Linked DNA regions of Struthio camelus. The protein of the gene in region 4 interacts with the protein of the main gene of each other region in a pairwise test. Links are inferred from orthologs where the notes say so. Each region holds a gene or a part of one and is shown on either strand. Other genes may lie near its edges.

What was found.
Region 1: the proteins of TFIP11 (region 4) and SFR1 interact in binary tests that used the Homo sapiens proteins (3 or more experiments, as listed by UniProt). The two-hybrid records come from large-scale screens. The link is inferred for Struthio camelus from reciprocal best matches to the Homo sapiens genes TFIP11 and SFR1.
Region 2: the proteins of TFIP11 (region 4) and SH2D4A interact in binary tests that used the Homo sapiens proteins (3 or more experiments, as listed by UniProt). The two-hybrid records come from large-scale screens. The link is inferred for Struthio camelus from reciprocal best matches to the Homo sapiens genes TFIP11 and SH2D4A.
Region 3: the proteins of TFIP11 (region 4) and SNX20 interact in binary tests that used the Homo sapiens proteins (3 or more experiments, as listed by UniProt). The two-hybrid records come from large-scale screens. The link is inferred for Struthio camelus from reciprocal best matches to the Homo sapiens genes TFIP11 and SNX20.

The regions. Positions count from the first base shown.
Region 1 is NC_090948.1:14,479,972-14,488,031, reverse strand, and holds the start of SFR1 (swi5-dependent recombination DNA repair protein 1 homolog), read left to right. Parts: upstream 1-4,842; 5' UTR 4,843-5,204; coding exon 5,205-5,253; intron 5,254-6,362; coding exon 6,363-6,478; intron 6,479-7,587; coding exon 7,588-7,974; intron 7,975-8,060. UniProt on the Homo sapiens protein: Component of the SWI5-SFR1 complex, a complex required for double-strand break repair via homologous recombination. Acts as a transcriptional modulator for ESR1.
Region 2 is NC_090945.1:5,625,268-5,632,965, forward strand, and holds the start of SH2D4A (SH2 domain-containing protein 4A), read right to left. Parts: upstream 3,069-7,698; 5' UTR 2,652-3,068; coding exon 2,477-2,651; intron 1,558-2,476; coding exon 1,398-1,557; intron 753-1,397; coding exon 593-752; intron 1-592. UniProt on the Homo sapiens protein: Inhibits estrogen-induced cell proliferation by competing with PLCG for binding to ESR1, blocking the effect of estrogen on PLCG and repressing estrogen-induced proliferation. May play a role in T-cell development and function.
Region 3 is NC_090951.1:17,360,909-17,368,257, reverse strand, and holds the start of SNX20 (sorting nexin-20), read left to right. Parts: upstream 1-4,294; 5' UTR 4,295-4,405; coding exon 4,406-4,455; intron 4,456-6,575; coding exon 6,576-6,754; intron 6,755-7,349.
Region 4 is NC_090958.1:19,921,502-19,928,857, forward strand, and holds the start of TFIP11 (tuftelin-interacting protein 11), read right to left. Parts: upstream 3,017-7,356; 5' UTR 2,928-3,016; coding exon 2,731-2,927; intron 2,445-2,730; coding exon 2,291-2,444; intron 1,634-2,290; coding exon 1,477-1,633; intron 1,028-1,476; coding exon 900-1,027; intron 386-899; coding exon 233-385; intron 1-232. Other genes in the region: TPST2 (protein-tyrosine sulfotransferase 2), read right to left, coding at 4,697-4,726, 5,643-5,693, 7,009-7,207. UniProt on the Homo sapiens protein: Involved in pre-mRNA splicing, specifically in spliceosome disassembly during late-stage splicing events. Intron turnover seems to proceed through reactions in two lariat-intron associated complexes termed Intron Large (IL) and Intron Small (IS).

The DNA.
Region 1 (8,060 bases), on a different chromosome or scaffold from region 4:
CAGGTTTGAATTTTCTTAAAATAACGATCAATCAGTTCTCCACCAAAAATGAGAACCCTGAAGGTATGTTTATTGTTTCCTTTCGCTGTCTGCTACAGTCTTGTAAAGACTTCAAACACCTCTGTAATTTTTGCATGACTGTATCAGAGAAAACCCCACAACTAGACATAAAAATAAAGACAGTCTTCTGTTGTTCCCTGTTATTAGCACTGCGCCTCACCCACTTCGGTGTTCTCACATGCAGCAGTGAAAACTAGGAAGCCCCTCTTAGCTGGCTCTTACGTTATCCTTTGTAATGGGAAAATGCAGCACCTCTCAGCTGCAATAAATTGTCAGTTTTTCTTTAGAAGACCTGGAAAATCGAAGTAAAAAAATGAGGGAAAGTCTAAGCAAGCTCCAGACGCAAGGCAGGAAAATTAAATTTTACTTTTGTTTTAGTTTTATGCTGATGTAATTCCAGTGACTTCAAAGTATTTATTGGCCATTTACATAATTATGAGAGCAGACTCTGTCTCCTAAGGTCAAGTTCTGATGTAGCCTAAACTGGTTTACTCTATGAATCTGGTCTATAAAGCCCTTCCTTTGATATATTTACATGCTATAAACAAGTCAGAACACTTTCTGAGAAGCAAATATTATTCAGAACTTTGCAGCCAGCAAAAACACAGCCCTAGGCCCAAGCTGAAGTGGGTAGCACTTTGGAAATTTCTGCAGCAGTTAGTGGTTGGGCACATAAAAACACTCCACCCTCCTGCCTCAGGCAAAGGAGATTATGTAGACCGTGCAGAGTGTGCTTCATGCGTCAGGATACATCATTTGGCTCGAAACAAGATCAACAGATTTCAGAAAAATGGGAGAAGTGGGCAATGCATATGTGCCTTAAGATTTAGTATGTTGACTAACATCTCCATTACTCATTGCAAATGTGTAGTGAGAAAAGCCCTAGCCTTTGTGTCTAGCAAGAGGTTAAATGGAAGTTTTATGATGCTTCTGGTGCACTGAAGGAACAGAACACATAAAGGTCAAACTGGAATCTCTAGACCCAGAGTCAGTATCCTTTATTATTACGATCTACTTATGCTGGCTTTGCTACTACAGATGATGCTCACAGTGGACTAGAAAATATTCTTGTCCTGTCAGTGTTGATATCTGAACTCTAGTGCTTTTCTGGTAATGTAAGATTAAAGAGAGAGACCTTATATAAAGAATATTTTTCACTTGTGCAGTCAAGTCCTGGGACAAATTGTCTGCCGTTAAACTGGTGTAAACTGAAAAAAAAATCTAATCATTGAAGTGTAATCATAGAAGCACCAAAGCGTACAGAAAACAAAACTAGGAAGCACATTTTCCTCCTTGTTCTTTAGGGAGACAAGTTTCTCTGCCAGGTTCAAAGGGTATGTTCTGCAAATAGATCTCAGTAATTTTATCACTCAGTGAACAATTTCCTATAAAGACTTTTTTTCTCTTATTTTGCTTAAATAAAACTATTCTGGTCGCAAAAGGAATAAAAAGTAATCAAACAATATGAGAAACGTTACACAGTGTGCCATAAATATGCCAATATTGATAATATATGGAGCGTCTCTTTTTCCTCAGGGGAAACAGATGTACTTTTTGAGAGGATGGGTTTAGTCTAATTCTTGCTTGCAATCATGAAGTGTTGGATAACATAATATCCATCTCTGTTGGGTTTTTGCAATAAAAGGGCTGGACAGGAACTCGTAAAGAGATTACAGTTTAGTTCCCAGCTGTGTCAGGGACCTCCTGCCAGATCTGATCTTGGGCAAGTCGCATGTTTTCACAGGACTACATAGGTAAACTTGGTAAACACAGGTAAATACTGAATACCAACCTGAAACAGGATCTTTTCCAAGAGTGATTATGCATTGGTGAATACAACTGATAATATTTCCTCTTCTCCTCTTTGTGTAGCACATACAGCTTATAAACCCGATGTGTGGAACTGTCTTTCTACATTCACAGTTTCAGACACGCTGGAATCTTCACCTGGGGTGGGGCATGTGGGTGTTACTGCAATAAAATAACAATGATAACACACAGGGTGACTGTTCTGTGTATCTACTTTTTCATGTGTTACGTTCCTGTAAAACCTTCCTGGAGTCTCAGCTGGCAAAAGATCTGAAATCTCAAACTTTCTGTTGCTCTTGTGCAACTCAACCACTAGCATGTCTGTGCAACACAGCATGACTAATTTTTAAAAGGAACCATCACTGAGACAGAAAGAAACATGTTTTGAACTTGGAGACATGCTGTCTCAAAGCTGCTGTGCATCTGAAATCCAGCTCACTTGTAAATGTGGAGTAGGAGTTCTATTAAAACTGTTACTGTTGTATTGAGTAGCGCTGTTCTGACATACCATTTTTTAAAAAAAGATTTACAACATGAAATTAGTTGCAGGTATTAAACAAAAGGGATATGTCACATTGGGATTTAACAAATGCCTCAGAATTCCTTCAAGCAATAGTTATCATCTGAGTTTTTCTGCTAGATAACTAATCACACAGCTTGGTCGTATAACGTAACTTCCCCCATTTGCTACTGAGAACATTATTTCTACATCCATGCCACCCATAGATAGTCAAGTGATACTCAAGGAATAATGCAAAAGCCCAAAGGTTTCCCAAATCGACTCATTATAGATTGTCTGTGAACGCTTGGATGCTTTTTACTGTAGGTGTTAGGCGAGAGAAAGGTTGCTATCATCACAGTGACTGAATCTACGCGTACTTATGGTCAAAAGCATGGCAACTACCACCATATTGTCATGCCTACACTCCACTGTGCTTACTCACCTCTCCAGGCAAAAGTGTATCCTGTCTCAATACAGATGGAAGTTATGCAAGGCAATGGATAAATGCAGCGTCCTCATCTGTGGTTGCGAAGAGGAATCAGGCAGGAAAGTAATGCAGTTCTGCCATGCAAATTAAGGGCATGATCTGATGAGACTCGCAAGTCTGTACACTCCACGCACAGCAATCGGTACGCGCTGGGTGAGGACTCATCATGCAGTCCAGCTGCGGGCAGTGCCGGAGGGACCACGGATACATCATCCATCTGCTGGCGGCAGACTGGGAAATACAGCCCTTACGGCTACTTCAGCTGTTTTTCCTCAGCTCTGAAAGTTATACCGGAAAAGCCTTCTTTAGACAGATCAGTCTTGAGAAATGTAAATCCACACAGGGAGAACTGGCCCGCAGCATGGCAGGGGATTTGGCTGAGAAGGCTGATTTGAGAATTACGCTTGGTCAGCAGCGCCTTTGAGCGCCAGGGGCCTCTGGTCCAGCGCTGCGCCCCATAAGCGCACCCGTGGCTCGGGCTGCTCCCGCACGGGGCCGCTCCCTGCGGCCATCCCGTCTGTTTTTCCAGTCATTTCTTTTTCAGCTCTTTCGCTGTCCCTTACATTTGAAGCCTGGATTTCCGAACCCCCTTGGCTTGCCCTCCTCCCAGTGCCTTCCCCCAGGACAGCTTCCCCCCTTCTGTGAGGAGACGGCAGCTGAGGGGAAGGCGCAGCTCGGGGCAGCGGGTGGCAACCCCTCTTGGCGGCACCGAGTGGACCGGCTGTGCAAGCACGACCTCCACCAAGATGGCGCCAGGCCTTGGGCAAGGTCTGGCCGTAACACCACACAGCCGCAGCAGGCTGGTGCTGCATGCTCCACTGCAATGGAGGAGTGTGGGGGATCCTCAAAGGTGCCCTGAGCCTGGGGCTCCACAAGCTCGGCCCCATCTCGGCAGCGACGGCAACCACGCTTTGTTCTTTCGTTTCCTTCCTTCCTTCCTTCCTTCCTTCCTTTCTGCCCGCCCGCTCGCCCGTCCCACTGCCACCTTCGCGCGCCCGCCCGCGCCGCTTTGCCCGGCGCGCGGAGCCCCACCCGCCGGCCACAGCGGCGCAGGCGCGCTGCGAAGATCCCCCTGGCCCCGCCCCTTTTCTCCGGAAGCGGGAAATTGAAGCGGCTGCTGGCGGGCGGCCCTTGGGGGTGGGTGCGCAGGCGCCTGGCACGCTGAGGGGTCGGCGGCCGTTGGTCGCGGCGGCGGGTGAGGTGCTGGCGGCTTGCGGGGGTCCCCTCAGGTCGGCGGGGTGCCGGGTTCCCCTAGCGTGGGCGGGACGCTGCCCCCCTCCCCCCCCGGGCTGGCGGGGTCGGTGGCACCCCGGGGGTTGGCTGCGCTGGCTCTCAGAGGGCTGCTTCGGCCACAGCGTGCCCCGCGCTCCGTGAGGGGCCTCCCGCCCCTCCGCGGCCTGCGAGCAGCCTCTGGCTTGGACCGTGGCCTCTCGGCGGGCTGCGCCCCCTTTCTGCGCTGCCTCTGGGCCCTCCTCGGTGTCCTGGTTACGCATCGGGGGGGGGGGTGTGGTCTCAGAAGGAGCTCTGAGGGGCTGTGACCCTGCACAGGGCTGCCCAGCCTTCTTCCTGCCTACTCGAGGGGTGGAAAACTAGCCAGGCATGACAGTGGCGGAGGGTCACTGCAGCCCTCGGTTTATCGGAGGAAAATGTAAACGGAGTGAGTGCTGTTACACAGCGCAGCCGTAAGCAGGAAAACTGAGGCACCTAGCGTCGGGGAGTTGTCCAAAGCCCCGAAGAAGTAAGTACTGGAGTGCAAAATTGTCTTTTGCACTTCTGGTCCAACTTTTCCTTACTTAGTGGACAGAGTTATTTTTCTGTGTGATTAATAGCATTACTACTTGAAAATGCAAAGGATTCTTAGGCTGAGATACTTGGGAAGGCTTTTAATAGTGCAGGAGAGAATTGTGAACATGTTACTCTAGAGACAGTTACAGTGTTAGTGAACCCTTGAAAAATCTTTGTATTCATGGTCGTTTCAAGACAAATACTCCGCATTAGAATGTAAAGGCAGTGAGTCACAGGATTTTCTTTTTTTTCCTGGAAAGAGTTGAACAAATGTTGAAGCTAGCTCTCAGGTTTGTTGCTTGGTAGTAAGAGATTTATTACATACTTGTGATGTACTACATAGGCATGATGTAGCTTTTTCAGGGCCTCTTGCTCAGACTGAGAAATAATAGTGATAACTTACATTATGTTTGACAGGTGCTGTGGGCTTCCTCTTTAATGCGCAGATTGCCAAGATACTTTTGTATCAGACTTTTGTTCCTACATAAAGTTTTTCTTTTTTAATGAAAAACCGTATGTTGAATTTTGAACAGCTAGGGGGAATGTTGACTTGCAAGATGAATGAGGACTCATGCCCTTGTTACAGAGCCTGGAGGACCTGAGTGGCAGGGTTAGTAAAGCTTTGGTGTACTGAAGCTTTGATTGGTTCCATTCCTGAAGAGGAAGCCCTTTGTGCCAGTCTTGTGTTGCCTGGCAACTTGTTTACAGGTTTTTATTTTCAAGAGGCTTCTGTTTCAAAACCCCTAATTGCAATTTCCAGGTACAGGGAGGTATAGCTGACAATTTTCCAGTTGCATGCTGGTCACTAGCAGGTGTTCACAAGTGCTAAACTCACTTAAACACTGCCAAATCAATTTAAAGTTGATACATGCTGAGAAGGTATGACTTATCATTTTAATTAGGGTGCTTCTCTGAGTAAACTGGGGAGGCTTAGTTTTAATCTAAAATTCCACTTGTGTGAGTAATTACTTTTTCAAGTAGCTTCCCCCAAAAGGGTCAAATAAGACAGTAGATTATTTTCACAGACATGGGCACTCTTTTCTTTAAAGATTAGTTGTTTATGTAGACAGACAATAAAAATCTCATGGCTCCCAGCAATTCTTTTATCTCTACTTGGGATGCAGCTAAATGGAAGGAGTGATTCTTCACAACCTGGCTTACTAAGGATTACTCCTGTGAGTTAGACAAGCAGTAAGGGTCATTCAGGTTAAGAAGAAAATAGAGTTTGTTTGAAGTGAGCTTTTTGTTGATAAGTTTGATGTTGCAGGATCTGACCTTAGGATTTATAGGCATATTATAATGGGCCTAGGTGCTTCATAAATCTTGCTCATTTTTAACACTTGAAAGGGCTCACCAATGTTATAGGTGGAAAAAAGCTAACACTGAAGAATAACTATACACTTTTAGTAATATTTATTTTAAGGAATACATGTTGTAGCACTTTATGAACGAAGGAGATGTAATAAACAAAATTCACAGTAAGATGCTTTGTAGCTGGTAGTACTGCTATTCATCCTCTTGAAGTAAAGCTGTTCACAATCCAAAATGGTTCTTAGCAAAAGAAATGTTTGTAGAACATCGGCAGATGTCTTTTTGAACGTAACAGATGGTAAGCTGTACTATTTCTTCTCAGGGCTTTTTACTCATCCCCGCAGCCATGTGGCCCATTATAATTAGGTAAAAATGGCACCGTGCATAATTTAATGTTTCTTTTAACAGAAATTGCTTTCTATCTGAAGATGGAAGAACCAGGGTTTGCTAAATCGACATCTCTGTGCAGTACTCCAAAGGATTCTGGGACAGCAGCTCCACAGAGCACTAGTTCAGGGAAACGGGTACGAAAACTTAACTTGTTTCCATTAACGTGACTTATGAGTGACAAAAATACTTAGAAATCGTCAAGTAGTCACTGAGGAACTGTTCACTGGAAGGCTAAAGTTATAAGTAGCTTATAACTGTAATTGCAAGGTTGTCCAGGTAAGAAGTGCTTTTGGTATACTTTGCTCTAAATATGAAAGTCTGTTACGAATGCAAAATGATGTAGCAGTATACCCAAAATGCCATGTAAATGCTAATAAATTTAATAATGTAATTTATTTTTATTTTTTTAAACCTCCTTTTTTAATTTTGTCTTTAGCTTCCTCGAATCAATCTTCTGGGTTCCTGTGCATGCAGAATTACTTCCTGTGACTTCTGCTTGCGCTTGAGCAAAGAAAATAAATCATCTGACTCTTGCTCTATGTTGTTTTTAAAAGACTCCAATATAGACTCTCCCATGTGTTTGTCTAGCAATGTTAGTCTTGGTCTTATTTTAATAGCCTTCTCTTTTGTGGCTTGTGACATCCTGAGCAGTTTTTAAGTTTCCTATGCAGCTTCATATGCATGTTTTTTATTTATTTAGCTCTGAATATGGAACACGCTTTGCATAAAGAACTCGATGCACTGTGCTTTCAGTTTGTATATTCTCTATAGTGTCTAGCTCTACTTTGATGTTTGTCTTAACACACAACTTAACATGTTGATGCTGTCAAATTGACTATGGCTTATATTACAAAAAAAATCCTTATGTAATTGAAACTATGGGGGAAGTAGAACAAAACAGAACAGAATTAACCAAGCTGAAATGTGCCCTGTGTCTTCTGTACTGAGACTTTGACAAGTAAGTTTGTCTTAATAAGGATTACAGCACGTGGTCCTTGAAAATTTGGAGGCACAGCTTTCCCATATCTTGCAGCTATGTGTGCAAGCACACATGAAAGGAAACGGTTAACTTTGTTCAAGTTTGTGAAAACTATAGCAACAATTAGGAAGTTAGGCTTTACAGTGACCTACATGTGATGTATTCTATGTAAATAATAAACAGGATATGAATCAAAGATAAGGTTATTCTGAGAAATCAGAACAATCTTTCTCCTTTTTTTTGTTGTTCTTTTATTATCTTTAGCCAATGAGTGCAGCTCTGAGGGAACGATTAAGAAAAACAAGACGTTCATTTAATGCTAGTTTTACAGTGGCAAAGCGGCTCAGAATAGACACTGAAGAAAAAGACTGTGCTGCTTCTGACGAAGCTTCTCTATCAAAGAAGAATATAGATTTTTCCAGATTACAAGATAGTCCTGAAAGCCTGGAAAGAAACTGCCCTGGTCATGCGCGTTTCAAAAGTTCTTTACAGAAAAGCTCTCCCTGTGGATCAACAGAGAATCCTTGTATGCTAAGGGCTGATTTTAGTCACCAGCGGTCTCTGGAAGAGAAAGTACGGCTGGTGAAACAAGTGCAAGAGAAAGAAGATCTACTTCGAAGGCTCAAACTGGTCAAGATGTACAGATCTAAGGTGAGGGAAACCTCTGAAAAAGTATTTCTAAATTATTTTCTGAAGTAGAATTGACAGTGAAATCTAAATTTCTTGATTTAAGCAAC
Region 2 (7,698 bases), on a different chromosome or scaffold from region 4:
CAGTTCGTTCTCTGTAAATGGCTTTTTAAAGGTATAAATGTATTTATTACTGGAGAAAAACCTTTCTGTAATGAAACATCAAAGCAAGCACCCTAGTCAGCTGCATTTGGAGCTGTCCTGTCCTGTCAAGGTCATAAACTATCTTCTAATTCTTTAGAAGAGAAAAAGAACGTGAAATACGCATTTCAAAGGATGTTGGTAGTATTGCCCTCTCCTGATCTTTTATAGGGGAAGATGATCTGTCTGAGGGCTGTGGCCTTGCATGTGCTGATCCTGGTAGGAGAGCCTCCCTGGTCTTGCCTGAAAAGCAGCCCAAACCAGCCAGAGAACAGGAGAGAAAGTACTGTAATCTCCATTTTACCCATGGAGAACGGAAGCAAAGAAACCCAGCTGGGAATAACCCACAGACCTCCCCAGTCCTAAGGAAGGATGTAACAGCACAACTTCTTCAATGACTGCAGAAGAAAGAAGCCTTAACGGTCAGGTGGCTAGGTTTTTTTTGGATTTTCCTTTACTAGCAATCAGTTTGCTGCACTCGCTACCTCTCAAAGCAAAGACTTCTGAGTAGGAAGGAGAGAAGGAGGAAAAGTACCTCTCTGAGCTCCCAGCTTTTCTCTGTTCTAGTGGCAGTTGTTTTTCTCCCATCTTCCTTCTGCTCTTCCACACTGCTTTTATTGTTCCTGCGAACATCCATCCCACCCAGGACTCCCGGTTGTGGATGCAGAGAGCATGTTACAGAAGAGTCAGTCTCTCTGAAATGCAAGAGAGACAGGACTTAGGAATCCAGGGGAGTAACTTTGTGCTGCCTAAGCATCTGAGAGGAAATCACATGTGATCAGAGCGCTGCCGTGCAGGCATACAGTTATCATATCTCCAGGTCACAGGGAGGGAATAGTTAAAAGTTGTTACTCATTGTGAGTAACTGTCGTCCGGCTGTTCACAGACACCTGTCGATGAATCAGTGCAATCCAAACACATCACCCACTGCAGTAACACGCATATCATCTCCTATGATCTTCAGAGGCTGCCGCACAGCAGCGATATGATGGGAGACTTGAACAGCTAGGGCAGGCCCTTAGGTTGGAGGTTGAGTCTCTGCCAGGATTGCCCATACTCATAGAAAGCTGACATTTCCCTGTGCCTTCGCTCTGCAAGCAGAGTGGGACAGAGATAACCACGCGCTGCCTGGCCCCAAGGCAGAAATCAAAGGAAAGCAAAACATGATTTTATAAAGGGCTCAGGCTTGCTCGCAATGTGCGTGTTAGACTTGTCCACCTGCTTCAGCCTGAGGAGGAAAATTCCCAGAGCAGAGAGGAGAGCCTCCACGGCAGAGACTCTGGCCTGGGTCTCTAGAGAAGTCTCTTCCTCTGTGTGTCCTCTGGGTGAGGGATACTTACCTGGCCTCCTTGCCTTGCTCGCTCGCTAAGCGTTTTGCCCTTTGTGCCTGGATCTCTTCACAGATGGCAGCATACGACTTATCTGATGGATGCTCACCCATCACCCAGACCCAGACATCATTGTCAGCACCGAGCTTCCATTTCACCGACTTCGCGCTGGCTGGAAGAGAAGGAGCCTTTTCACTAATGCTGTTTGCTTAGCAGCCCCATGCAGGGTCTGTATCCTACATGCTGTGCCCTGGCTGCTGCCACTGGCAGAGCCTTTCCCAAAAACAGCCTTCTGTGGGAAAAAGCAGGGAGGTATCTGTGGACAGGGTCCATCCCTGTTAGAAGCTCCTTTGGGACACAGCATGGACCCTCCCCCCCGTTTCATTTCACAGTGCCGGAGCTAGAGTCGTTCTCTGTCAATAAAGGAGATGTTTCTGAGCCCCAAAGGAAGAGAGGAGATACCGCCATTTCCTTTCTTCCTCTACTTCCTTGCCACTGCCCTCTTCAAATGCCTTGTCCAGGGACTGTGTGAGGCTGGACAACCGGCAAACAGAGCAGGTAGGAGACGGCTGGGGGAAGAGGACTCCTCGGCTCTGCGAGCCAGCATGCTGCGTAATCCTGGCAAGGGGATTTCGGGTCTAAAAGCCTAACAGGCAACCCCCAGCAGATTGGTGCCTCAGCCCAGGCAGTGGCACTCGCCAAGCTCCCGTATGACGCAGGCTTGTTGCTGGCACTCCAGGACAGGCATTCATGTCCGTGGTTATTTTATACACAGATTCAGAGGCTCCGCTCAGTGGGACACTGATGAGATGCATCTCGTGACCCAGGGGACAAATAAGCCATGTCTTCCTGGGAAGGGGAGTTTAGTGGTTCGGTGAAGGACGGTGTGTCTGGGCCTGGGCCAGGGAGTGAAACAAGCTGGATGCCAGGCCAGAAGAACCCCCATAGGAGATGGTTTTAGTTCTAATTTGGGAATATGAGTAATGTGTCCTGGGAGAAGAAATTACTCTGGGGACACATTGCCTCCTCTATCTCGGGATCTTGGTCAGATCTGTGTCCAAGGAGGAAGCAGCTGGCAGGCAAAAACTTACCTTTTCTCAATGGTGGTTTCTTGGCTGGAGCCTTGTCTGCGGCAGCTTCTCTTTCCTTCCACCGTCTGATCTGCTCTTGCCTCATCTTGAAGAAGAGGATCTGCTTCTGCTCCTCACTGAGTTCTGCCAGCAGCTCAGGATCAATGTACATGTCTGATAATATCTGTTTCAGCATGGCTGGAGGTTTCAGTTGCACACGTTTGTGGCGATGAGCTCCAGGGATCAGCTCCTCTTCCTGGCTGCAGTATGGCTGCACTGACAAGAAAGAGTCCGTCCCTGCCTGAGCCTGGAGCAGGAATGCAGGTGTGCCAGGGTAATTATACTTCTATCTGGGTAACTTTTTTTTTTTTAGCTCAGACTTCCTGCACAGACTGAAAAAGTAAATACGAGCTTAAAACCTGCTATTAAGATTCCTTGAAATAACAGGTGACAGACACAGCCTCCGCCTGCTCTGCAGGGACAGCTGGCCAGAAGGGAAGAGTTCTGGAGTCGGTGGGCAGGTTGTATTTATGCCCTGATAAACTGAGCTGATACCGTATCAAAACAGGGAAGAGGGCTGCGTGCTACAGTCATCAGAGGTGTGGCTTGTCCGTGCCCAAGCAAACATTCCTGCTGGGCAGGGGATCAATGGACTCAGGACTAGAGGGCTCCTCCTTCTTCGGAAGAGGAAACGCTGTGAAACAGGGCGGCATGATGTTAAGAAGTTCAGCCGCTCTCTTTAACCAAGGAAAGATTGGGAGGGCTTTTGGCTCTGCTCTTGAGGTGGGAGTCAGGAGTTGCCTGGTGGGAATTTTGGGGTACTCCTGTCCATCAAATGTAGTGTCCCAGCAAGCCCAGGGAAGGTGGATTGCTCAAAGCCAGATAATTAAGATTGTCAGCAGCTGATGAAATGAGGCAGCTCCAGGTCTGACATTTCTTGCTGATGTGCCTTCCCCACATGGCAAACCTGGCATGCGCCATCCACACGTGACAAGCCAAAGAGGCAGGGGAGAAGGAGCACTCCTGTTCCTGCCCAGGATGCCAGGTCACAGCTAGTGCATACAGGTAGGGCACCCGGCACCCAAGCAGATGTGCTTTGTGCCAGTAGATTGACCTGTGCAACAGGGGTTTCTCTGGAAAATTAGGAGCACTCCTGTAACTAGAGGAGCTGCCAAATAGGTAGTGCTGGGGGGATGGGGGGAATGGACTAAAGACCTTGAAACCAACTCTTTTGCATATCTCCTCTGGATAAACTCATGGAAACAAGGAGGTTGTTCAGCAGCGCGTTCAGTGACACTGTTGTCCGACCCTGGCGCTACTGAGGGAGGAGAATGCGGGGTTGGGGGGGAGGTGACGACAGCTATGTTGTAAAGTACAGCTGCAGAAAGAGCTGCAAGGGTGGCTTGCTAGCCAGAGTGAAGGCGAGAGGTTGCAGGCGCTTTCTGAACAAGCTCTTAGGAAATGCAGGTTCACTGATACCCATGGTCTATGGAAGAGGTGTTGGGCAGCTGCAGGCTAGGCGCCCTCTCCGAAATGCTACTGCTGCCACTGGCAGCAGCGGGCAGAAAGGCTGAGTCTCAGTGCCTGAGGAAGAGGAGTTTACAATTGTCAGAAATCGTGGGAACCTGCGGTGGAGAGAGTGGGTGCAGGAAGGGTCAGTGTGGTTGGCCCCGAAAGGGAAGCAGATTGCAGCCTCCTGCCATCACAAGGGCCCTGGGAGGAGACTGTTACACCAGAGGGGCAGGCACATGGCGGGGCAAGCAGTTTGTCCACACTCGCCCGAAGCTGTAGAGGTCAGTGACCCCTCGAACAGGGAGGGCAGAATTTGATGATGGTAAAATAGGAAACGATAAGTGGGAGCAGAGGTTTAGCAGGTTGCATGGAAAATGAAGGCTAGCGGGATTACTCCTGTACTTCTACACAAATCCTGGGAGTTGGGGAAACAAGAAGCATAAAAGGCTTAAGAAGCTTCGAGGCATAGCCCACTAGATGGGAGGAAGGTGGTCAGCAGCACATTAATGTGGAAGTATAAAGTACATGGAGAAGATGGACTGGCCCATGCCAGGGAGAAGTGGCAGTATGCATTCACTACTGGAGTCAAATGAGTTCCCTTTGTTACTGTAAAGGAAATGGCTCCTGGGGATCCCCATGGCAGGTCAAGACAGGAAAAAATGTTGGGAGCACCTTCAGCCTCAGCGCATGATTGCTCTGATTTTTGCCTGGAGTCCTCGTCTGGGAAAGAGGTAGAAGAGCAGGCTAGAGAAGGGTAGGGCAGAGCAGCCAAGGAGGGCAATAATGAAGCTTTCCAAGGAGCACATGCATGCAGCCCATTTAATTAGGGAAAATGAGGCAGTGTGACAGCAAAGCTTCCTCAGTCAGCCAGGCAAGATAACATCTCCTGGGCTTATTCTCACGCTGTCTCACCCCGCCTGCCTTCCCCATTTCACCCCCACACCAGACCAGGCATGCCTGAAGGCAGCGTGCCCTAAAGCTGCGAGAGGTAGAGCACTCAGGCCTTCCTGGGGCACCGCCAAAGCATGCCGGAGACAGAGGAGTTGAGGAGCGCCCAGGGCATGGCAGGCTGGAGTCCTGACGCAGATTTGGCAGGGAGGGCCTGAAATGAGCTGGGAGCAGCTGGGGGAGCTGTAGAGGTGAGACAAGGGGCTGCTCAGGGCCTGAGAGGACAGAGGGGTCCCGAGTGTGAGCACAGCCACTTTCAGACAAAGCCAGAAGTAGGACTCCCTGGGGAGGTGCCCTGAACCAGGCAGGGTAGGGTAAGAGCCTTTTTGTCTCTGTTTTGTGTGTCTGACCAGTTGCTTTACATTTTCCCTCTTTGAAAGGTTAATTTAATTTCAGAAACAGGGAGCTGTTGTTCCAAAGTCGTGTTGCTGTTTAAACAAAATGGCTTGATTGGTTGAAAAAAGGCTCTTTGGGGAGCTCCTTGTGGGAGGTAGTTGTGGCTGGGCAAGGCTCTTGAGTGATCCTCTGATAAGAGAATTGCCCCAGCTCAGCAGCCAAAGAAAAGGGCTCAGGCTGTCCTTGAGCGGGGGGGGGGGGGGGGGGGGGGGGGGGGGGGGGGGGGGATGGCAGGCTGTGGAGAAGGAGCAGCTTTTTGCTGTGGGGGGGAGCTGGGGCGCAGTCCCCTCTTCCTAGGGGCATCTGAGCTGTGTGAAACTGCAAAATTGGGAGCTTGCTGGGAGTTTGCTGTTTAACCTTCACTGCCTTCTGTTCTTAGGCGCTGCCTGGAAAAGAAGCTGTTGTTGGCAAAGAGATGAGGGTATCACAAAAGCACCCTTCAGTCAGGCCTGGGTCCCTTAGGCTTTGGAGTTTTTTCTTAGGATCAGCTGAAGTCAGTTCAGTCTGGAGGACACAAGGTGTGGTGGCTATTTCAGATCAATTCCTGTCCTCCAAACAGAATAGCTCTTGGGAGGGTTGCTCTGGTTTTAGGGGATGTGACAATCTCTTTGTGTTTAGCCCAACACAGCTAGTGCAGGCATTGGCCTTTTGAACAGTAATATGAATCTGAAAAGCTTGTGTGGTGTTTTTATTTCTGTAACCCAAAAGTGCCTTGAGCTGTGAGGCAGCGCACACAGACTAAGAGCTCTTTTGCAGCCAGTATAAAGCAGAGTATAAACAACGCAGAAGCAGTATAAACAGTATAAATCATACACGTAAACAGTATCAAAGCATGGTATTAGAAGAAGAAAGGAAATGAACAGCTATTTGTAACTAAGCTGCAAGGTGGGAAAGAAGCATGGAGTTGGTAGTAGCAGCAGGTGTTTCCATTGGGATAGACTGTCCCTCGCAAATGTTTGTGTGTGAGGGTGTACTTCTGTGTGTGAAGAGTTGGTACCCAGTGGGTGACTGAATAGGTGCAGCATGGGCTTGGCACTCCCCTGCCTGTTTGTCTGCAAGGGCTTGATGTGCGTTTGGGGGAACACGGTTTTTGCCTGCAGTTTTCTAAAGATGCCTAGGCTGAATTGCTGTAAGGTGCAAAGTACAGAAAGGTTCAAAATATTGAAACCTTGGGAGAAGTAGTCAGATCTACGTTCTAGTGGTACAATCCGTGTGCCCTTCTGACAAAACCTGCAGCTACTTTGCTAAGTGGAGAGACCTGCAGTTTCTTTTTAAGAGGAGGATGTTATGGAAACAAGTTTGGAGATGCTTGTCTGAAAAACATCCTAGCAGAAAGAAAAGTTGTTTGATTTCTAAAAAGAAAGATTTGAAAAGAGCTCGCCGCGTCTTTGAGGCATAGTGCGCATTCAGAATACCCAGGGTTCTGGGTATCGGCGATGCCTGTTTCACCATGCCGTATGGATGAAATGCTGTGCTTCTACTCTGAGTTGCTGGTCTGTGTGCAGAGGTCTTCAGTTAAGAGCCTGAGGTGTCTTCTGTTTGGAGAAACAAGTAGGGCTGGGTCTTCAGTGGCTCAAAAACAGTAACTAAAGAGGCTGGTAGCTCTGCACATGGACAAATGTGGTGGTCTGGCAGAGATGCCTTGCCTGGGTCAACAGAAATGAATAGTTGTGATGTGTAAAACTGAAGGGGTTTCTAACAGAAGAGACTTGTTGCCAGCAGGGAGGTGAAACCCTGTTATTCCCTTCAGTTGTGAAGGTATAATTTGTGGTGAGTGTGGGCCAAATGCTGAGTGGTTTGTTAAGCAGAGGGTGTTGACTATGTTTGCCAGGGAGAAAAGCCAGGCAGCTGGGCAGGCCTCTCAGGAGCTCTGTGTTCTGTCTGGCTTGGGAGCAGCAGAACTGCTGTTCTCCAGAAGCTCTAGTGACCTTTGATTCAGGATGGTCCCAGCTCCCTGGCCAGAAGGGGGCTTGGAAAGAGGATGGCCCAAAATGGGCCCGAGAGGATGTCCTTGCTGTGACTGAGCAGAGGTTCTGTGCAGCTCTGGCTGGTGGGATTGGCTGCAGCGGACTGGAAGTGCAGGCCCCTAGCTCGTTTCCCCTGCTGGTGGTCATCGGTCCTGCATTCTGCCTCTTCATACAGCAGTAAGCAGCTTGAATCCCCGTTGTCTTTGTGTGGGCCCTTCTCCCTGTTTGGCTGCCTGGGAGCTGTTTGACACACGGCAGTTTGGTTTCTCTTGCAGAGCTGAAAGTTGCAGTGAGCCAAGCTGCAGTGATTCAACTGTGTTTTCTTTCAGCTTCTTTCCCAGGCTTGCCTTTTGGTGCTTTAGGGGGACCGTCCTCCCTCTGTCTGGGATGTGCTTCTCTCTTCTGAGAGAAGAGAGAACC
Region 3 (7,349 bases), on a different chromosome or scaffold from region 4:
TTGCATTTATTATGGAATAATAAATTCATATTAATCATGTTAATCATTTTATTTAGTCACTTAAGAGTAGAATTCCATTTTAAAGTCATACTTAATTTTTAAAGAATAAATAGCACTGAAAAGATACTATGATTTATGCATTACATTCCCTTTGTTTTGCAGAAGGGCACACAATAAAACACAGTTATACTCCGCTAATCCTCAAGGTGGCTATCTATACAAAGCAGCTGCATTTTCCTCTGTTTGTAGAGCTGCCTTTAATACTGCTACAAAATGCATCAGTATGTCTGCTGTAAATCCTGTTTTCCCAAATTTCACGATGTTTGTATTCCAGGTATAAATACATTACACATGGAACTTGGCATACAAATACTGGCCTAAGTATACTATTATCATATTCAAGAAGAAAGGTGGACAGGCAAGTTATAAGAATAACATATAAAAATTTTAGCTAGGAATGAATAGGTATGCTATACCTAGTAGCCCTAAAACAAATATTTTAAAAGTATTTCCCTAGTCTATGTTATTATGTATTTAACCCTCTATTATTTCAGCATATACCATTTAGAAAATCTGCTATTCTATCAGCAGAATAATGCTTGTAAAATTTAACCTGAGTTAATATGCTATTGACCCGTTGGGCTTGCATTACAGCTCTGTGTCACTGACAGACCACAGATGAAAGAAGGGCCAAGGCTGTTATTTATGCTAAAGCTCCTTCATACTCCTTTAGAAGTATAAAGGAATTGTAAAGTGATAACAGGGCTTTGGCAGTGTAAAATGGACCTGTTATGTTTCTTTCATGTTGAAAACCCTGTCTGTAACACCAACACAAGGAGATATTTGCCATTAAACTGCAAATTATTTTTTTAGACCACACTCTTGATAAACGTCTTTTCTAGTAATGGAAGAATGGTAAACAAATTCCACTTTCAAATGACACAACATTCTACAATTAAACATTATATAGATAACATTGAACATACTTTTGTGCTGTGTCAGGATAGTAGTATGATATTCATTTATCACAACATCATCCCAAAAGTGCAGAATATTCATGAAGAACAGCTGAATTTTTCTGCTACTTCAAACATGGAAATAGTAGCTATTTATCCAGCTGCATTAAAAATGAGAGGAAAAGTTCTTGTAGAAGCATCAAAGACAACATTACAGTACTTTCTAAATATTAGCTATTGATAAAAGAGGACTTGGACAAATAGGTATTTCTGCCTCCTCTTGTTTTTCCTCATCATCCACAGTTCCAACAAATGATGAGATAAAATAAAAAAGTATTAGTTACATAGTTTGGTGCCTGAGAGGGAAAAGCAGCGCAAACCCTACTAGGTCACTTGAAGCTGTATTTATTGGGGCAGAAGCTGCAGAGTTTTTTATAAAAAGCATATTACAACCACAGCTGAGACATGATACTCTAACTAACATAAGTAACACTTACGTTACTTATCTGTTAATCTTCTGTCTTTCACCAGGACAGGAGCTTGCTGTGCCCATTACAATGGTAAAAATCTGTCAGTAAACTGCAGTTTACATATAGCACTGGTTTCTCTCACATTTTTTAAGATAATACCAACTTTGTATTCTATGATTAAATATTGTGGCTCTTTGGGTTTGTGTAATCTGTAAAATGTTAACGTGTTGCCCAAGTCAGATTTATATTATTGTAGTCCCCACAGAAAATAGGCAAAAAAAAGATAACCGGAAGCAGAATTATCTATCTGGATAATTTCTCGAACATTGCTGTGGATTTTTTTGTCAGAGTATAAATCAAGCATAGAGTATAACTGAACAGTAAAAATCAGGTATAAATCAAGACAGGGTATTCTACTGCAGTCCCTTCTGGCCTTTAACCCATCAAAAGCTCATACATGGTCTTTTGATATAGGCATCCTTGATATAGCATCGCAAGACTAGCTCATGTGGTGGCTGATTACCAAGTGTTAGAAATAAACTTTCGGGTCACTCTTCCTAAAACAGACTTTCCTAAAGTGAGTACTTCCATCCTAAATTGGCAAGGAGGACCCAGCAAAACTCCTATGACAACTATTTTTATGCACTGAAATGTTATGGTTTCAACCTCGCCTAGCTCCGATGTTGCAGCAGAGCATTCTTTCCATATTGCTTGGTGAATGCATTTTAATACTGTGCATTTTTTCTGTGTGCCAGATAAGGTCAGTGCTTTCCTTCAGCGAATGTGACAGAACATGCTTTTCCATTAAAATTTACCATAGTTTTATGAGTAGTCAGATGAACTGACGCTGTAAGTGCACTTCTTCATCCCGCAGAATGTTATGCTGTCTTTGTAAAAATTCCCCTTTTCTACTGTTTAATCCTTTGCATATGCTGTATTTGACTGTTGGAAGTAAAACTGAGGATATAAAGAGAAAGATATTAGTTCTGCATTCTGCTAGCAAGCACCACTGTATACTGTTGACTTTTTTGAACGTGCTAATCCAGTAGACATTTAGAATAGTAAAGTGCTGCCGGACTAACAACGGTTGGTCCCAGTGAAGGGCTGTCTGGACCAGACCTGGGCACGTGGGAGGAGGCTGAGGAGCAGCAGCCTCGTAAAACCACTACGGATGTCATGGCTCTTGGGAATGAGTTTAGCAATAGTCCCGTGGGTGTTTTCTAACAACGGGCTGTGGCTGCAACAGCTGGTTCTACTGAGGCGGTCAGGATTCTTGCAGAACACCCTTGCTCTGTAAATTAAATTTATATCAGTCAGCCATAAGAGATTTCTCATCTTTTTACTCATGCAAGTTAATTTAACCAGGAATTACCTCTGAAATAATTGACCATAAAGTTTGTGCTCAGCATACTGAAAAATATACTTTCCTTTTTCCTTCAGCTGTATCAAGGGTAGGACAACAGCACTAAGCATAACAAAATAATATATTGCTTTTTGGCTGTACATAAATTAGCAGATTCAAAATAAAAAGCTTGGATACATCTGTGAACTGTCAGCATGAGTGAAATCCCCCTTGGATTTTGTTCACGAATGTAACCAAAAACATAAATCTAACTTTAAAGGAAAGGATCTCGAGCCAGAAACCCATGCCTTGTCTACACTTAAAAGGGTTGGCTGGTATACCTACACCTTGGAGCTGTATTGGCAAACACACATTTGTGGAGACACATCTCACACTAGCAAAAGAATTTTTTTCTGGTATGACTTAAACCCATTTCCCGAGTGGAACATGCTATTCTGGCTAAAGCACTCTGCCAGTATAACAGCGTCTACACGAGGGGTCTTGCCAGTATGGCTGTGGCTGTAGAAGAGTGACTTTTCATCATTCTGACAGCTGTTTTGGCAAAACTTCTACATTTAGACTGAGTCCAAGTTTGAATTGGCAATGTTTTATGCTGTGAATAAAGCTGAAGAGAGGCATTGCCAGTTAATGGCCCCGATTTTACATTATTTGAACTTGTTTGTGTCAAAGGAATGTGTGGGCAGGATCCATGTGCTCCTTTGGATGAATGCCCCTCACATTTGTGCTGCATTAAAATCTCCCGGTTTTCCAGTGAGTGAGCTTCGGCAACTGGGAAACTGACTTCACGATAAAAGATAGCGTCTGTATTATCTACCAAAAAATAGCTATCCCGATACTTTAAGCCATCTTCCAAAGTGAAGTAAACCGCAGAAGGAAGCCTCCAGGCACTGGATATGTGGATTAATGTGTCATTTTTCTTCACTTTGTCTTCAGTTCAACAAGGGATTTAAGCCTGGAATTAATTTTAGGCACACACATAACTCCATTTCAAGTTTAGCGGTCATGTCAGACATAATAACGCTCCGTTCTGAACTTTAAGCAAGCAGATAGTGTGAATTAATCATACGCTTAAGCACGGTATAGAGTCAGGACTGCTGTCAAATATGTAAGCGTGCATAGAATGAGGCTGCTTGCTGTGGTTGTACCTGCATTTTTTCTCCTGAACTGGATGGTAAGTCTACATTTTAAAGATATCCTACAGGGCCTGCTTTCCCACAGAAACACATGTACACGTTGGGTTCTTTTCTTCCTCATCTCTCCTTTGCTAATTGTGTTTTTTTTGGTTTCTGATAATCCGCGTGGAGGAGTTCCCGCCGGCTCTGTAATTCCTGTCGAACTCTTTGCCCGGCCCCGTTTTGTGCCTGCGCGTGCCGCACCGCTGGCGCCCCGGCCCGAGCAGCTGCCTCCTCTCGCTCGCGCAAGAACCGTTCACGGCCGGTAGGAAATTTCGTGCGCAATCGGTCGCCGCTGAAACAGCAAGCCAATTGGACGAGGAAGCCTGATTTAATCAAGACTTCTTCCTTCCTTTTTGTAAAGCGCAGAACGCGCCCGCCACAAGGAAACACAGACATATTTTTCTGCGTTTTGAAAACGAGAAGCAGGCCCTCCGTGGATCTATGCAGACTGCAAAATGCGCCACAGCTGAAACCTCTTCCGAACTTCCCAGGTCAGTATGTTGTGTGCGGCAGTTTCCGACGTCACCTATAGCTCCGGGAAGCGGGGAAGCACTTTGAGAGGCGTTTACCCTCAAAAAGAGCAGGCTGAATGCCTCTTCAAAGTATAACTGTACAATTTGTTGCGGGTTTCTTTGTACTGTTTTGGATTTTTTTTAAGGGTAGGAATAAATAGTAGCTTAGTTAAAACAGCTTACAATGACTTTTAGATGTGAAAATGAAACTAAATGTTGATATAACGTATAGACACTTCGCAAGGCAGATACATGAAGACTTGTATGTCATACCATTGACTTCTGCATCCTTTGGTTTACAGTCGTGTTGTACTTCTGTGGTAAATTATGTTTTTAAGCCGTATTTACACATAGATAAACAATGTATATTATATACTTATAAAATATATAAACTATATATCTAATTTTATATCTACAAAGGATAAGACATATTTATAAAGATATGTATCTTGAACATAAGTATAATTTTGCTTATGTAAAGAAAAGTTCTTTACCCACAGAGAAGTTCTCATTTAAATTATTTGACCATTTTCAGATTCCTTATTTAGCCTGGTATAATCGAGATAACCTTCACTTATCATTTAAAAAAAAGTATTTTTCAAGTTTATAGCCATGGGATAAACTGTCATGATTATGAAAAGGTCTGAACCGCTGGAAATTAAGTAACTATCGACTCTCATGTCCAAAAAGCAGATGTTAAGGAAGGCTAGAAGAGCAGGGAGGACTTCCACCTCCTGGGAGACCTAGTCCAAAGTCCAAACATGAGGGCTACCAGGATGCTCCTGCTAAAGAGGAGGGGACTTGTGTACATTGCTTATCCAAGCCAGGCAAAGGAAAGGTGTTAGAGGAACGTGATTTGCACCTCCATTATTTCCAGAGGGGAAAGCAAGTGCTTTTCTCTTTATAGCTTTGCAGTTTTCTAGAAAACAATAGGTCACCCGAAGGAATTGCTTCACCTCTGTATCCAGCATTGCATAATTGTTAAGCAGACAATAGGAAGCAAAGTGATATGTAGTAACACCCTTGTCCTAAGCTTATTCGTTACCTAATAACCTCTCCTTCGGCATTATCTTTACATATGTGCAAAGAAGATTAGAATGTTTTAAAATAGTTTTTTATGTTATTTGATTTTCTCCCCTGTTGGCTGAATTCCGAGCAAAGTTTCTCTGTCACACTGGCAAAGTTTTTAAGATGCTCTTAAAACTTTTTCAACTGCTAGTATAACATAATCAGTTATACTAGTTGTAATCAGTTATTAGAAAAAAAATCCGTCCTGGGGAGACGGGTATGTGGCAGAATGGCCAATCCAATCTATGGGCTATATTGCATTAGGCATTTTATGAACATAAAATAAAATAGAAGTCCTAGCATAGGACAGACATATGAATCTGTCACAAGCACAGCGTATGGATGAAAAAAGAGAAAGTCAAGAGAAGCTTCTGTATAATAATTAGACGACTCAGTTTTCCTTCTACCTAGTCGTTGTGAGATTCAGTTGTTTTGTTCTCACAGATCAGAGACAAGTTTCTGGAGGGAAAATGAAATAGAAATATGACAAAAGTATTATTTTAGATATCACCTTGTTTTGCCCTACAGGCCAACATAGTAGCTAAGAACAGATGCCAAATTCTGGAGTCTTAAGAAGAGTAAATTCTAACAATATGAGAGAGTCAAACTGCTAGTTATACTAACTATTTCCAGCATTTGAGTTCATCCATACTATTATTTCAAGATTGAGGGCAAAATACAAGGAGCAAAAATCTGTCTCCACTGAAGTTTCTGACAAAAATCTCACACAAAAATGGAGTCAGGGTTCCCCACGTAATTTTATTTACCATAACTTCTCCTTATAGTTTCCACATTTTATTTTGATCTGACAAAAAGACTTCCACACACTTTCAGTGGCAATAGTCATAGTTTTTCACTACTAGCTAGGTAGATAATTCTATTTATTACTCTAGTTTTCATGAAAGAAACTATAGATGCCCTGAAATCTGTTCACAGAGATCGATGAGTAAGTAAATAAAGAAGAAAATTACCAGACCGGATCCACTAAAGGCCTGCTATTAAGACATGTCATACTTACTGTAATCTTTCAGTGGTAGCTTTGCAATGGACCAGGACCCACACTACACAGCAGAAAGAGAGCTGTTGGAAGCTGTAAGCAGGATTACTCCATTCTCTGCTACAACTCCACCTGATGAAGAACAAAATCAACCCAAAGCAGAAATTTCATGTCAAGCGAGCAAAGAAAAGCCAGAGAAAGATGACGTTCAAGGTTGATGCTATCCTTTTATTCTATTTTTCATGTAGCTATTGATGCTATTGACCTTTTACATAACAACTTTTGCTTTATTTACTGCAGCAATACTCCAGAGTTATATGGCTAGTATTCCACTGAATATAAGCCTTTATTAAATCTGTAGTAATAATGTAGCAATAGTAAAACAGGTGCACATCCTGGTATACATATATGTATAGTTTGCCTTTTAAATCCTTGTTCCTAGAATGTGCTCCAGATTTAGTGTACACACCAGGGACCCAAACAGTGGCCATCAGATGGCCTGTCTTGTGAATGCACTTTCTGTTCATCATAAAATCTGAATTTCTCGGCAGTATCAGCAAGGACACCAAGAACTGGATAGCAACTAAACTCAGTCTCTGTGAGGTCTCTCACATTCCTTGGGAAGAGGCTACACTGAACTTTTATTGTGTTTAAGATTGCTCTTATCTGTTACTAAATAAAATGTTAAATGTTATCTATAATATTTACAGTTTCTTCAAGATATCCCCCCTGCAAAGCTATCCTAAACAGCACAACACTCTTAAGAAACAGCTGCTTTGCAGAAATTCAGCCAAGCCCCACAGGTCTT
Region 4 (7,356 bases):
CTTTTCCTGAGGTCAAAAGGTTGCTTGTGAACAAGTGCCAGGTCCCAGGTGACGCAGTAGTGTGTTAAATGACTTGGTGATAAGTCTGAGGCCTTTGATTTTCATGAGGCTGTGGACAATTCGTTCTTGTAACTGTCTTCTATTAAGGTTACCAATGGCTAAAAAGCACTCACAGTACTAACGCGGACTAATCATAACCCAAGTGATGGCATCTCTGGGAAATCAGCCTTACCTTGACTTGAGACAGCTCCTTTTGAGGCGCTGCAAGCTGTTTGCTGATCCTACCCTTGGCTTTCAATTCTTCTACTGTCTTATAGTTGTATTTGGGCTTTTTCTTGCCTCCATTAGGATCCTTTCTCCACTGACTGAGCTCTTTTTGAAACTCCTAAACAAAAACAAGCAGGAGTTGCGGGTTGCTTCTCTGTCATGACCCAAATTTGTCTCTCTAATTTTTTTTACAAAAAATTAACCAACGAAGAATGCTGTACAGCAAAACAACATGGGAAGTAGTAAAGCTGAGGGACAAATTAGCTCAGATGCTGTGGTCCGCCCAAACATGCTATTCATGACGGTAGCAATATATTTCTCCTTTTGTTAAAGAACCAAAAAACAACCAGAAAGAATGCATCCAAATGTTTCTACCATTTTAGCCAGACAAAGAGGATTTATTCTGGGGGGTTCCTAGCAAGACTACCAGAATAAAGGGAGCCAGAATTTATGAAGAGAACGTTACGTTGACAAGAAAAATACATCTAAATGAAACGGTGTTAGGTCTTTAGCTTCTTACCTAAAACTGGCCTAAACAGTTTTCTCTGACATAGAAGCTGATACCAGACCTGAATTTCATAAAATACAACATAACAATGAGAAAAGAGATATACCAGGAATCATACACATACCTCTTCAGCTTCTTCTTCTGAGTCAACAACAGGGAAGTCTTGCAAAGACTGATTGGTTCTTTCAGAGCCATATGCCCCTACAGCTCCTTTGCCTTTTCTTTGTTTGGCCTCAATTGGATTGATAATACCTGAACAGGACAGTAGTTAGATCAGAAAGGACTACAGTTTAGTTACTCAGACAGAATTGAAAGTGCTTTTCTTACAGTAACTTGAGTTATCAAATTAGCAAGAATTACTTTTTTTGAGCAGACACCGACCAAATGCAGAGCATTATTCACATTTGTATGTCAGTGCTTCTTCATTCTACTGCATAAAATAACGTCTCCTTTCATTCTGAGCTGACTACTCTTGAAATTTTATCTCCCTCCTTTTTCCTTCTTCTCCTCATACAAAATAACGAAAACAAAAAAATGGCCTATGGTACGTTAAACGCAATTGAATCTTATCATAAAAATTCAGATCATTTGCTAGAAATGTCAGAAAATGAGAATGAGGTTTTAAGCCACAGATAAAATTCAGATGAGAGATTGGATTCTTGTGAGTCAGCAAAAAACAAACAAACTTGCAATCACAGTACCTTGAGCGTTCTTCCCAAGACCTCTCCCGGGGACATAACCCATCTTCTGGAGAAGCTTCTGCCCAATTCCCTTAGTGTGTCTCTCCCAGCTTCCAAAATCCATGAAAGATTTGGCCCCTCCTACAAAGCCTTTCTGACTGGGCTTGAAATTACCACCCTATTTACAAACAACAACAAACTTTTTAAGGCAATTTAATAACCAAGCTTTGCATACGTTAACTCAAAAAGAAGGCACTCTCCTGAAAAGATTCAGCTATCACCACATGGTACTGCTGTTTCTCCGCCTCACGATGGCAGAGAGTACCACTGTTGTGTCCATTTAAGCAGCCTGCCACTTAAGAAATTTCCATATAAGCTGACAATTATTAGAGTCTGTCGCTGACTACAGCTGAAACTCCTACCTGATCTTTTCCGTATTTGATAGCTTAAAATACGGTTCGGTTTTTAATCTATAACATGCTCACGCTAATCATATTGTTCTGCGGGAATAAATCAACCTTTGGATTTTAATAACTGAAACAAGGAAATAAAACACGAGCATTCTTTTATTTTTAACCTCAACTGACCAAAATGAATATTAACGAAAAGGGCTCACAAAGGAGCAACGTTCCCAAGGACACACAACACTACATCAGTACAACTTTAAAAAATATAGAAAACATCTCCTTTAACTACGTGCACTATCAGTTCTCTAGTTTACAATTATTTCTCCGTTTCTTGAGTACTCTATTACTGGCTCAAGAACTTTGATACTATTACAGCTTAAGTTTCATAAATAGATTACATAGAACTAAAAAATTTCTGGATAACTCACTGTTTTTAACTTCTTTGGCACAAACTCTTTAGGGATTTCTTCTTGCTTAACAGGCTTTTCGTCTTCATCGGAGTCTTCCTCTGACATATCCTCAGCTGCTGACTTTTTCAGCCCAGCACTGATGAAGTTCACGGGGGCTGAGTAGTCCCTAGAACTATATATTAGAAAAAGGCTTCTGTAAGTGCTCACGGCACGAATTCTGTCCCAGCAGACCCGTGCGCGTCCCCGCGCAATCCTTGAAACAGTCCTGCTAAATCCCACCCTGAAAGGAAATCTTAACAACTCCTGGCTAACTTGGAGCATGACGTTATTGCTTTTTCTGCCAGGAAATAGCCACGCTCGCCCCTTGGGCAGAGGGACGCGGCCTGTGCGCCCAGTCTGAGCGCGGGCACCTCGGCCGGCCCCGGCCCCGGCGCCCCCGGCCCCCCCCCGGCCCGCACCGCTTGCCGCCGAAGCTGGGCCGCTCCTCGTCCGAGTCGCGCTCGGCCCACACGCCGTAGGTGGCCTCCTCCTTGCTCTGCCGGTGCCGCTGCCGGTGCGGGTTGAACTCGTTCTGGAGGTCCCAGTCCGACACCTCGAAGCTCTCCATCTCCACGCCGTCCTCCCCGTCCGTCCCGTACAGGTGCGACATCGACATGGCGCCGCCGGGCCCCGCACGGCCCCGCACCGCACCGCGCCGTGCCCCGAGCCCCGCCGCCGGGCCCCCACCGAGCCGCTCCGCTCCGCCTCGGGCCCCGCCGCCGGGTCCTCCTTCCCCCGCCTCCCCCGAGCCGCCGCCTCCCGCCTCCCGCCCCGCTCCGGTCGCTCCGGTCCCCGCCGCTGCGAAACGAGCCCCGCGGCCCAGAGCGCCACCCGGAAACGAACCCTCTCCTTCCGGGTCACGCCCCCGACCGCCGGCTGGAGCCACTCCCCCTACCATAGAGACTCTCGCGCCCGGGGCCGGGCCAAGCCGCCGTCTCGCGCGCCGGCCGCTCCTCTATGGTCTGGCGGACCGACCGTGCCGGGCCCAGGCCGCGGCCGACACCGGGGCCGGGCCTCCCCCCACCCCCCGCCCCCCAATCCCCGACACCCCCCGTCCCGCCCGGCCCCCCCGCGCCCCCCGGGACACCGGGCCCTGCCGCCCGCCCCGGCTGCCGCCTTCTCGGCCGAAGCGCTGCTCCAGCGGCGGCCGTAAACAGAGGGGCCAAGAACGAGACAGGCGGCCTCATATATTAACTCTTAAATAGATTCTGTAAATTACAAGTGAAGGAAGGGCAGGAGACTTGTACAACCAATGCTCTACAAGGTTATTAACACCTATTTCTGATTTGCAAATTAGAGAACAGCATTACAAGACACTTAAATACAGCCTTTAAAAGTTCTCAAGTAATTGAATATAAAATCTCTTTCCAATGCACGTCGAAAGTCCGATTGCAATATTTGTTTCCACAGCTTCTTTTACCACGGAGCGTTCAGAAAAGGTAGACAACCGGTATTTGAAGTGGAAAATGTTTGGCCTTTGCAAATAAATGCAAGTACATTCCTTGTATAGCAGTCATTTTGGCAATATTATTAGCAAGCAATATGCTTGGATAACAGATTTCCACTTTTGCAATTGCAAACTCTTCTTTGCTGGACAACAAAAGGCCATTTGCAGCATTCTGGAAGACAAGAAACACAGTCTTAGGGATAAGACAGACAGATTTAACACAGCAAATACATGACTAATGATTTTAAACCAGCAGCTACATAACAATTTGTTAGATAGCTATCTAAGCCCCAGCTCCAAGATAATGGGCATACATCATCCATCCTTATTCAATGCTTCTGCTTTTTTAAGCACAAGATCCTGCTTTTAAATATAAAGTAATTTTAAAAGGTTCATTTTTAGAAAATTTTCATTCACCGTTTAGCATAGATGCTACCTGAAGAGAGAGACAGAAAAGGATCCAAGATATGAACAGTTGTTTCTGCAGAAACAATCAAGGGTTGCGGTTTTGTTTTTTTTCCGAACTGACAGCACGCGTGACCGCTTTATCTTCTCTTCGGCGAGGACAGTGCCCATCCTAGCAGGCTACTGGGGGAGCTGCTCAGCACAGCTGCACGTTTCCACGCTCCGTTTCCATGTTGCCAGCAGGGATATTCAGTAATAAGCCTACCAAATGACTGATTCTGATTTTGCTGAAGTAAGCCTGTTTTCAGAGCTCAGAAAAACATTTTCTCACAGACCACCTCACAGAGTTAGCAGTATTGTTCTGAAAACCTAAAGCAACTGTGAAGGATCATTCACATAAAGAGGATGCCTGGAGCAGCCCAAATAATCAAGGGGCACAAGAATTATACAAGCAAAACACTAACTCTGGAGCAATGCAGGTAGATTTGCATGAGTCCCAAAGTACAAGCACTTACCTGGAAATCATTAATTTATTAGTGAGAAGATGATGTATTCTGAGTGACCTAGAATAACCAACAAAGTAGAAGGATCAGTTTTCTGTCACCACCTGCAACTCTGAACATTCCCAGTGTTCCAAGAAGCAAGAAAGGGAAACGTTCAGGACAGAGAAAATTGTGGCAGCTACAGATAATCAGCAGGCACGAGGCTTTGCCAAGAGCCTGCAGCGTCTCCCTGACCTCTCATTTCCCCAGAGCATCTGCAGCATGAACCACGCACACTCGCTTCACCAGCAGCTCTGTTTTCTCATTTCAAGTCTTGGCCACGCATCTTTTCTGGAGAACTGAGAAATCTTTTATTTTTTGGTCATTATGTGCAATGGCTGTTGGATTGCTCTGGATTATAAAAGACGGGTTACCAATTGTTTTCAAACATAGCACTGTAAGGAGAGCCCCGTATACTTCTGACACCTGAAAACAGTCTCACAAGTACAAGAAGGAATACTTGTAATCTCTAAATTAGATAAGCCATGCCCTCCCTAAACATGACAAGGCCCAGGACAATGAAAGCCTTGAGAGTTTAGGGTCAGACAACAAGGTGGCAAGGGTTTTAAAGTAACAGAAGAAAGCGCCCAAGTCTGATGCGTGAACGCAGAGCTCCACAGCAAGAAACCATAAGCAAGAGCAGGCCAGGAGAGGTGATGGAGATGAACAAGCAGGGTCTGAGGAGCAGAAGAGCACAGAATACCATCAAGATTTTGTAGGACAAGACAGGATATCAAAAATAAGAACGCGGAGGATGGGCGTGGTGCATAGCACAAAGGAAAGGAATACAGGATGGGCTGAAGGAGAGACCAGAGAGGGGAGCTCTCCCTGCACTTGGGCTGCCCAGCCTGCATCTGTCCATGAGAGGAAGCAAGGGACCAGGCACCCAGGATTAACCAACAGGGCCAAGCCCTGAGAAGTGGCATCAGACTCTTACCTGAAGGTGACCTTTCAAGTTGGCTGGCGTTTTATAATCTCCCTTTAAAACCTACGGAAAAGACAAAATTAGAGTGACCCCTTCTTGAACGGTGGCTGTAAAATATCAGTAACTCCACGTTATTAACTGCATGGATTGCCCCAGTGTATCCAAACCAGCAGAGCTCTCCTGATGGGCGTTTGTTCTACATCATGCTGATGCTGGGGAAATAGCTGGAGATTTCCTCCTTAGTGACTTTTTAAGCAAAGCCAGGGAATGGCATCCTGCCGGCACAGGGGCCTGACAAAAGCAGGTTCTCTGGATCCCTCCTTAACCTGGAAGGGGAGAGTATTTAGACCTTCAGCATCATGCCAGTGCTCCAAATTCATGCCGAGAAGTACTAGAAGGTCCACGTCAAAGACTCCAAGAGTCTCTTAAACCTGCTGGGGGAAGATATTCATCCAGATCATCTGTGTCCTTAAAGAGCTCTCAGCAAGCACACAGAGCAAGGAGGAACTGTCAGAGACCAGAATACTCATAGCGCAAACCAGCTCAGGGAAGTTCTGAGCTTCCAGTTTAGTGGTTTTACTTTCCTGTTGACCTATGGATCTGCTTATAGCACAGCAGGGACCAGTCCAGCCTGCAGGCGTTCCTCCACGCCCATCAGTGTGACAGAGGACATCTGGTCCAAGAGCACTGTCACTGGGTGTGCGTGCAAGGCTGGGGAGGCTGCCGAGTCCAGCCGCAGTCCGGTCTGCTTCAAAGCGTGAGAAAAATTCCCTCCGTCTAGTAACTGCTGTCTGTGGCAGAAACATGTGTCAGTATTCTGAAAAAAATCCTTTTGGTCTTTGCTCAAATGCATTACAAGCCTCCACTCACTCGCATTCCTCCTGGGACTGTGGGGAGCGGCTGGTGAGCTACACACGGACACAGCACAACCTAACCCCTTCTCTGCGGCCAGATGGGAGCTTCTAGAGCAAACAGCTCTGCATCTAGATAACACAGTACACTTCCCATGCCTGGTACCAAGAACTGGGCTGGATCAGGGAGGGACAGGCCGGTATCTGCCACAACAGACGAAATGAACACCGCCACAAAACCATAGGGAACATCATTAGTCTGAGCCACCCTAGTCTCAAGCTACCGCATTCATCTCCGTTTTAAAGTAACCTCTGTGTACTGCATGTCCATCTATCAGTCATAGTCTCCCCAAAGGAAGAGAGCTTTTGTGTCTCCAGTGCTCTTTTTTGATTCAATTCAGCAACCTCTTCTCCTGCAGAGGGCTCTGCGGGCACAGTGCCTGCACAGGGAGGTCTCTGTTCCAGCGTCAGCCCACCCTTCCCGTAACCGCCTGGCCACGCTCCAGCCGGATGGCAGCGACACTCACCCTGTGCGTGTTGTTGACAACTAAAGGGTCCGGGTTGCCGTAGTTGGGTGGATTGGCGTACGGGTCGTAGCCGAGCCTGGCAAGCATCGGCGCTATGTGGGCCATGTCTTGCAGCACATCCCCTGGGATATGTCCGATCCATTTAGATAATGCCTCCATGTTCACAGGCTTGATAACCTGGTCTGTTGATCTTTCTATCCTGGAAGAAAATAAATAAATAAATAAATAAAAGGAAAGCAAGACAGTAAAGTTGCTGTCAGTTGGATTTCACGTGTATATTAATTGGACTCAGACAGAAAAACCTTCAGCTAGGTTAGCTACCCTCTGAATGATTTACTCTCAATGCCC